Linked DNA regions of Ovis aries. The main gene of each other region encodes a partner of the protein of the gene in region 2 in a complex. Links are inferred from orthologs where the notes say so. Each region holds a gene or a part of one and is shown on either strand. Other genes may lie near its edges.

Evidence for each region.
Region 1: the proteins of NTSR1 (region 2) and NTS are in contact, whole or in part, in a crystal structure (PDB 4BUO), measured with the Rattus norvegicus proteins. The link is inferred for Ovis aries from reciprocal best matches to the Homo sapiens genes NTSR1 and NTS. Residues at the interface, in NP_001102437.1 of Rattus norvegicus: Ser53, Asp54, Leu55, Asp56, Asn58, Phe128, His132, His133, Tyr146, Met208, Val224, Cys225, Thr226, Pro227, Ile238, Arg327, Arg328, Phe331, Cys332, Tyr333, Ile334, Ser335, Asp336, Trp339, Phe344, Tyr347, His348, Tyr351; in NP_001095851.1 of Rattus norvegicus: Arg157, Arg158, Pro159, Tyr160, Ile161, Leu162.

What each region holds. Positions count from the first base shown.
Region 1 is NC_056056.1:122,104,882-122,108,795, reverse strand, and holds the start of NTS (neurotensin/neuromedin N), read right to left. Parts: upstream 2,348-3,914; 5' UTR 2,257-2,347; coding exon 2,184-2,256; intron 460-2,183; coding exon 398-459; intron 1-397. UniProt on the Homo sapiens protein: Neurotensin may play an endocrine or paracrine role in the regulation of fat metabolism. It causes contraction of smooth muscle.
Region 2 is NC_056066.1:54,354,637-54,358,550, forward strand, and holds the start of NTSR1 (neurotensin receptor type 1), read right to left. Parts: upstream 2,569-3,914; 5' UTR 2,123-2,568; coding exon 1,409-2,122; intron 1-1,408. UniProt on the Homo sapiens protein: G-protein coupled receptor for the tridecapeptide neurotensin (NTS). Signaling is effected via G proteins that activate a phosphatidylinositol-calcium second messenger system.

The DNA.
Region 1 (3,914 bases), on a different chromosome or scaffold from region 2:
TTTCATTCTTAATTTAGGAACTCCATTTCACTCTCCCCAGTAGCAAAACAAAAGGCAAAAATGTCACTTAATTTTCATTTATGTCTTTAACTTGAAGTCAGTGTATCTTTCATCATATATAATGTGATTGAAATGGAGAGAGGATTTCCACACAAATAATATGTGACTACTTAATTAAATTTGCAATGTAGTGATTGATATCACTAAACTTCTGTCCCTGCCACATCGATACCCTTAAGTCCTTTGAACTTAAGGAACAGTTTCCACCAAAAGGAAATGCTTCCCAATGAGCTTTTCAGTCTCAATGGGAAGTTATTACTATAGGAAGAGGACACCATGTTTATAACAAGAGTTCATATGTTTTCAGGCTTTGGTTTAGAAAGAAAGAAAAAGTTACCTTTGATGTATGCATATTGGTCAATAAATCTGTTTCTAACGCTTTCATTTCCTCTTCTGAATCTGAGTAAAATCAAAAGCACATGTTTACTATATAACCACATATCATATAATTATAACTTGAATACTTAAGATTAATCTCAAAAAACTTTGTCTTAGAAGTTTATTGTCTTTGCTATGTATTTATTCTCTTTATAGTAATATTTACAAAAAAAACAATTATAGTTTTATTTTAGGCTAACAGAACACAACAATAGAAGCACTTTTATGAAAATAGGCACATGATTTTATGCCAAGAGAGCTCTTGATGATTTGGAGTTGTTAAATCTCTGAATCTCAGGATAATAAAACCTGATTATACTACACAGATGTCATCAAATATGCTGGTTAATTTTTACTGGCAGTAGTTTACATATATATAGAGTATATACATATTGATATTTTCAAAGCAACATAATGAAAAGGTAAGTACAAGATGATTTTTAAAGACAAAACCAAAGGAAGTTACTTATTGATAATTTTGGAATAAGAAAGACACTGAGATTTATTTTATTTGAGATGCTATTTTACAAAACACACTTGGAAAGATTTGTTTCTCTATATTAGCAAGGATTTAGAATTATGTATACTTGGCAATTTTATCACAGGCTATTAAAAAATCATTTAAGCAAAAGTAAAGATGTCCACCAATACATGTACAAGAGTGTTGAAAATGGACTTCTGATATTTTTTAGAACACCCTTTCAGCTTCCACTAATAAATATTTCACAGAGAAGAAAATCTTGGAAAATACATAAGGTAATAGAAATAATGTTATGGAACACTAAATGAAAATCAGAGCAGGAATTTGAATTAAACATTTCAGTGTCATATTTATGACATTACAGTATAAAACAAGTTAAATGATTTTTGCTAAACTTATCCCTTGTTTTTTTTTTTCACCTTGATGTGATCATTCAATTATTTTTCAAACATTAATTGGAGCATATTGCAACCATTATATTTCATATTACTCTCTAAAATTTGAAATTTATTTTCAAGGTAAGCTATTGATAGATATTTAGCAATGTATGACTTCTTCTTAATTATACATGCAAAATACACTATAGGGAAATAATTTTATCAATATAAGAATAATATTATTCTAGTTACATTATGTATTAACTTAAATGACATGCAAGAAAATAGTGAAATTTGTAATATGTCTACCTGTCACAGAAAAAAAGTTATTTAAAATATATTCTTAAAAAAAGCTTGGCATTTTTTTGTATTTTCCTAGAGATCATTTTCTACAAATAATGCTTTATTCTGTTGATTCATTAAACATCAATATTCATTTTATCTTAATACACACACTATGAAGAAAATAATTTTTGAAAGGGAGAAGCCACCATGTCTTAAGAGAGTGAATGAAGATGATATAAAACATTTCATATAGAATCAGTTTGAATTATGAGTTTGCATTTTGACAGGCACCACTTCTGTACTTTTCATTAGATCAGCTTAAGTTTTACATTTTTTTTCCTAGTGATTACATTGCAAATGGGAACATGAAGTGTCTTATTGAAATCCCTTTCACTACCTAGCAAATTTTAAAAGGGAAAGGAAAATTCTCAATTCTTGTAATCATAAAGACAGAGAAAGAAAACATACAGTTTCTATCACTAAAAAGCAAATCAGAATAAGGGAGAAACTCTTCTCCCCAGATATATTAACATAGTAACAACACATTGCAAAAACAGAAAAAGATATCATTTCAAGGAGTTGTGAAATATAGCTGAGCTTACCTGAGCACAGACTCCAGGAGCTGAAAGCCAGGAGCATCACACACAGCAGCTGGATTTTCATTCCTCCCATCATCTTGAGCCTTCTAGCAAGCCAAGTTCATAAGCGTCAGGGGCAGGCTGAAGGGGGCTCTCTAGCACAGCTGACTTTGGAAGTACTGAACTATGAGCGATGCTTTGGCCATTCCCTGTATATATACATGCAGGAGATGATGTCACGAGCACAGAGATTATCTCTTCACGATGTACCCTTCATCTCCAGCCCACCCCACTTCCTCCTCCCCTTTTCCTTTGTCCCCTCACACCTCCCCCCCACTTCTGAACCTCCAGGAACAGTGACATCTTCCCTAATTGCCACCACTGCTCCAGATTAATGACGCACAAAAGGAGTCATTCAAAAGCAATTCCATATAGAGCATACTGGAAAAGAACTTCCAGTACTATTCTTTCCCCCATTTCCTCTCATTCTCTGACTCTAAGAAGTTGTCATTCTGATTTTGTGAAGCATAAGATCTGTTATTTCTAGTGTGAGTAAAATCTCCAGGATGAATGCCTAAAGTCAGTGATTCTTTAGGTTTGGAAGTTATTAAAGAGTTAGGATTCTTTTCTGATAATCCACACTTTTGAACAAGTGTTTTGTGGTTTCAGGAATAATATAGTTCTGCTATATACTGTTGCCAATGCTCTGGAAGAAGAAAGGAGGTGGAAGATAAGCAGAGAATCAGTTATAATACTAGGTTAAGCAAGAAAATTTAGAGAAAGTAGAGAAAACGAATTTTAAGGGAGACTAGTAGCTCTAAGAGTATTATTTCCTAACAAATCGTAAAATCTATACAAGTAACTGGAAGGATGATTGAATTACATATGCTGACTTATGGTTGAATGTTTTAGAAAAAGAATTTCATATTTACAAAATCCATCTATAAATCATTTATGTGCCAGCAGGCATGTATTGCTGTATCACTGACTGCTGTTTTCTGATACTTTCCTCTTTTTCTGTCTGCATTTCCTTTGACATTCATTCTTGCTGCCACATTCTGTTCCGTCTGTAACCCCCTTCTCACTGTCTCTCACCATTGTATCAGATTTCTTCCCCATGACAGTCCCCAAAATGAGACTGTGCTTCTGGAAAGGAGCCAATTCTAAATAACCACTGTCCACCAGTCCTGTTTCTAAGATAGCATCTTCACATGAGTTACAATGACACTCATTCCCTCTCGGGGTTATCAGTAGAAAATTGCTCAAAATGTTTTTTGGAGTGAAGTTTTCTTCTTGCATTAAGTATTTCAGGATATATGACGTGAGCTGAAAAGACGGTGCTGTTAGAAATGTGAATATTTGAGGTTAAGGGGTCTGAGAGTTGCTCACTTCTGAAACATATCAGATAGTAACAATCTAGAAAAGAAGTCTTGATTACTACAGGGAGTTGATTTATTCCCTATAGCATGTGACTATGGTATTGGCTACTCTATTTTACCCTATACCTAAGAAGAAGGACCAATTTCCAACTGTTAACAATAATTTAAAATAGTCATTCATGTAATTTAATATTTAGGAATTTAACAATGGCTGATATTTTTATTACTTTTAGTTTGTTTTACATGTTTTACATGCCACACAGCACTGAACACGACTCACTTGAGGAAAGTTTTGTGTATACAGTGTAATTAACTAGCAAAGAAATGTGAAATATGTACTCTGAATTTGCTTTCCTGCCGCTAGGGAGCACAATAG
Region 2 (3,914 bases):
CCTGCAGCGCCTGTGACTCATCTTCCTGCTACACGTGGCTGCTGGGGGCCCCTCCGCACAGGAACACCTGGAGCCAGGGCAGGCGAGGAGCCTGGAGCTTAATTCTGCCACTGGCTCCATCTCGGCAGTGGCCTGTGGAGGGTCAGTTGCAGCCCAGGATAGATGTGCAGATGGCATGTTCCCCACCCCCAAGCATGCCAGCTCCCGGAGCCCGGCACCTCTGTCACACTCAGAGGCAGCAGCATGGGTTCTACTGAGACGCTGTTGATGACTTGGGCGTGAAAGGACAACCAGACAGGACAGCCAGTCTCTCTGGCCACTCCCACCCCGACCTGGCTCAGCCCAGACCCTCCTCTCCCGTCCCACTCTGGGGTGGAGGGAGCCCCCGCCCTTTCATGGCTACCCACATCCTGAGGCCACCATGTCCTTCCAGGTGGTATCTCTTCCCTGACTTGCTCTGGTGGACACGCTGCTCCCAGGCCAGGGCCCTGCCTGAGAAGCCATCTCCCTGGGGCCGGAATCCCCCTGCCTGGCTGAGCCAATGCCCAGGGAGGTCTCCAACCTGGGTCCCCACATGCTTCACCCAGACCCTCTGAGGGCGTTGGTCACCCAACTCCAGGCCCTCCAATCTGCCACCAGGCCCAATACCTTAGGATTTTCCAGCAGAAACAACATCACCACCACCACCAGGGACAGCGCCTCTGACTGCTTCTACCTGCCAGGAGCCAGACAAGGGCTCCCATACCTTCTCTCTTGAATCCTGTACCTTCTGAGACCAGGGCTGTGATTGCCCCATTTCACAGATAGGAAAACTGAGGTTAAACTAAATAACCAGCCCAAGACAGCATCAGGCCAGGAGACACTGGGGGAGCAGTCTGGGATAGGAGTTCTGCTGTAGAAGAGAGGGACCACACCTGTGGGGAGCACAAAGCCTTTCGAGAAGCTGATGGGAGGGACTTCCTCTGGAAAGAGGACGCCAGCACACACATTTGCCTTACACCTCAGGGGCTCTGGGGATGGCTGAGGCCCATCCACGGAGCCTCGGCTTCAGGGAGGTTGGTAATCTGGGCTTCCAGCCCCTTTGATGGAAGGAGGGAATGAAATAAGTGGGGCTGAGGCCTGGCAGCCCTGGAGTAAAAGGTGGGAAGAAGCCGGGGGTCAGGCTGCTCTCAAGTTCCCTGCTCCTCCCCCATCCCCACTCCTTCCCAGCTTCATAGGAATAAAATTTCTTTGAGACACAAAATTTTCTCCAACTTCCTGAACCCAGAGGACACACAGACAGGAAACTACTTCTGGGATGAGGCACTGAGGCTTCCCTGAATGTCTGCCTTGGACCCTTGCTCCCAGGGGAGATCCCGGTCTGGTGCCCTCTGACTCCTGCCCCTGCCCCCTGGAAGAGGCTGCTCACCTGGATGACGACCTTGACTGTGGCAGTGCCCACGATGGGTGTGCATACCAGGCCGCCTGGGTGCTGGCCGTCAGCACTGCGGTTCTGCTGGCCCATGGTGAAGAGCATAGGCACAGCCAGGAGGCAGGAGGCCAGCCAGACGGCGCTGATGAACTTCTTGGTGCGGCTGCGGGACATGAGGGTCTTGGCCTTGAAGGGGTGGCAGATGGCCAGGTAGCGTTCCACGCTCAGGCTGGCCACGTTGAGGGCAGTGGCATAGGTGCAGGCATCGCGAAGGAAGTAGTAGCCGCGGCACACGGCGTCACCGAAGGCCCAGGGGTGGTGCACCCAGATAAAGTTGTACAGCTCCACAGGCATGGCCAGCAGCAGGATGAGCAGGTCGGACAGGGCGAGGCTGCCCAGGTGGTAGTGCACCGTGCTCTGCAGGTTCTGCAGCGACTTCTTGCGCGCCAGCGTGAAGGCAGTCACTGAGTTGCCCACCGTGCCCACCACGAAGAGCGCCAGGTACACAATGGTCACCAACACCTTGGAGTAAATGTCCGTGTTCACATCCAGGTCGCTGCTGGGGGCCGCTGGTACGGACTCCGACAGGTTGCCAGAGCCATTGCCCAAGCCGGCAGCCAGGAGCACCCCCTCCAGCACCGACGGCAGCTGCGTGAACGGGTGGTCGGTCCGGCCGACCCAGGGACCGGGCGCCGAGCTGTTGAGACGCATGTCGGGCGCTGCTGCGCTTTCCCGGTCCGCTGCTGGAAGCCGGGGGGAGAGGGGGTGCGTTTCAGGCAGGGACAGAATAGAGGGAGCCCGAGGGGTGGGCGTGAGAGGCCGAGGGGGCGCGCCGTCGAGCCGGGGAGCGCCAACCTGGTCCGTGCCAGCCTGGCGCGCTCGGCGCTCGCACTCACCGGGGGTTGCAGCTTCCCTCCGGGCTCCGCGCTTTCCCGGCTTTCTCCGAATTTTCGATCCCACGGTTCCTCGGGTCCCCGGGCGGCAGAACCGGTTCTCACGGAGAGCGCCCGGCCGGTTGGGGCTTGGGCTGCGCGAGGCAAGCCTGTGGAGCCGAGAGGAGCGCACGCCCGGCTGCCCGGCGCGCTCTCTTCTCGCTCGCGCTCTCCGCGCACCTCGCTCCGCGCACCTCCCGCAGCGCCAGCGCCCTCCCGAGCTCTGCGCCTCCACTGAGCCGGCGGCGACGGGCGCGCCCAGCCGTGGGGGGCGCTGGAGGGGAGAGAAGGCGGCCCCTGCCACTGTCCCCGCCCCGCAAGGGGGCAGGGCTGGCTGATCACCCCCGCGCACTCTCAGGGACCATCTGGACTGGAAGGAGCGCCCCAGGGAACTGGGATCCCAGCGGGGTGCGCCAGGAATATTGGCTCTTTCCAGGCACCCTTCTCAGGCAACTCGCCCCTCTTTCCGGGGTCTCCCCAGCTTCCTATGCCCCACTTCCCCAAGGGAACTGCCCCCGGGTCGCTTCCAGCCTGCCCAAGCAGTGGGCTTCCTGCTGAGGTGGGGGGACGCCCTTTCTTCCTGGGATGCCAGAAGCTGGGCTCCCAGGGGCTCTACTCTAGCACAAGTAACTGGGGGAGGGGGTGACTGAGGCGATCGGAAAGCAGAGGATAAGTACCGCCTGCCTCTGTGCAGGGTGGTCTCCTGCACCCAGCTCCCTGGAGTGGCCATGTGCTGTTGTGGGTGCAGGTGGTAGGGTCCAGGCCTGTCATCACCACCTGAACGTGGACCATCAGATTCCATCCTCAGGGTCCAGCCTGGCAGGATGTAGAGGGACCTGGCTGGGCTGGGAATCAGGAACAGATACCAGAGGGAGCTGAGGGAAAGGGAGCACTGAGGAAGGGGGGTGAGGCCGAGCAGCCCAGACTTCAGACCAGTGAGGGGAGAAGCTCAGGCTCAGTGCTTAGTCTCCGGTTCCCAGCTGGCCCTGAGCTTCTCCGCTCCACTGAACCCTGATGTTCCCACCACGGAGTCTTAGCACATAAGATACGTGCTTAAAAATGTAGCCTCGCAGGAAACACAAATGTCCCTTTGCTGGAGGCCACCACAGTGAGCTCAGAGGCAACAGGAGTGGTTTCAACCTGCTGCTTAATATCTGGGTGAGTGTTTTAGCTTCCCCATCCCTCTGTTTAGTCATCTGTGGAATGGGTACACAGTTCAAATTGATGCTCCTGGGTCCCCATTGTTCTGGATGCTGTTGGCACTGCAAACAGCAGGCGCTCAGTGGACACCTGTGGAGTGCATGCTTTTGTGCGGACTGTGTGAGGATTTCGGAGGGTGTGAAGCTGAAATACCTGAGAAAATAAAAGTTGCTTTAACTTCTCCAAGTTAGACCAGGTTTGCTCTCTGGAAGGCGAGCCCATAGGTTCTGGGTTGGGAGTTGAGTGTCCTCACCACAGAAAGCAGTGCCGTGTCGGCCTATGTTGGCCCCCAGAGGTCATCCTGAACCCATGGGGACATGGGGGTCTTGCCGTGGGCAGTGGTATTGGGTCACCTCTCTTGAGATCCCTGC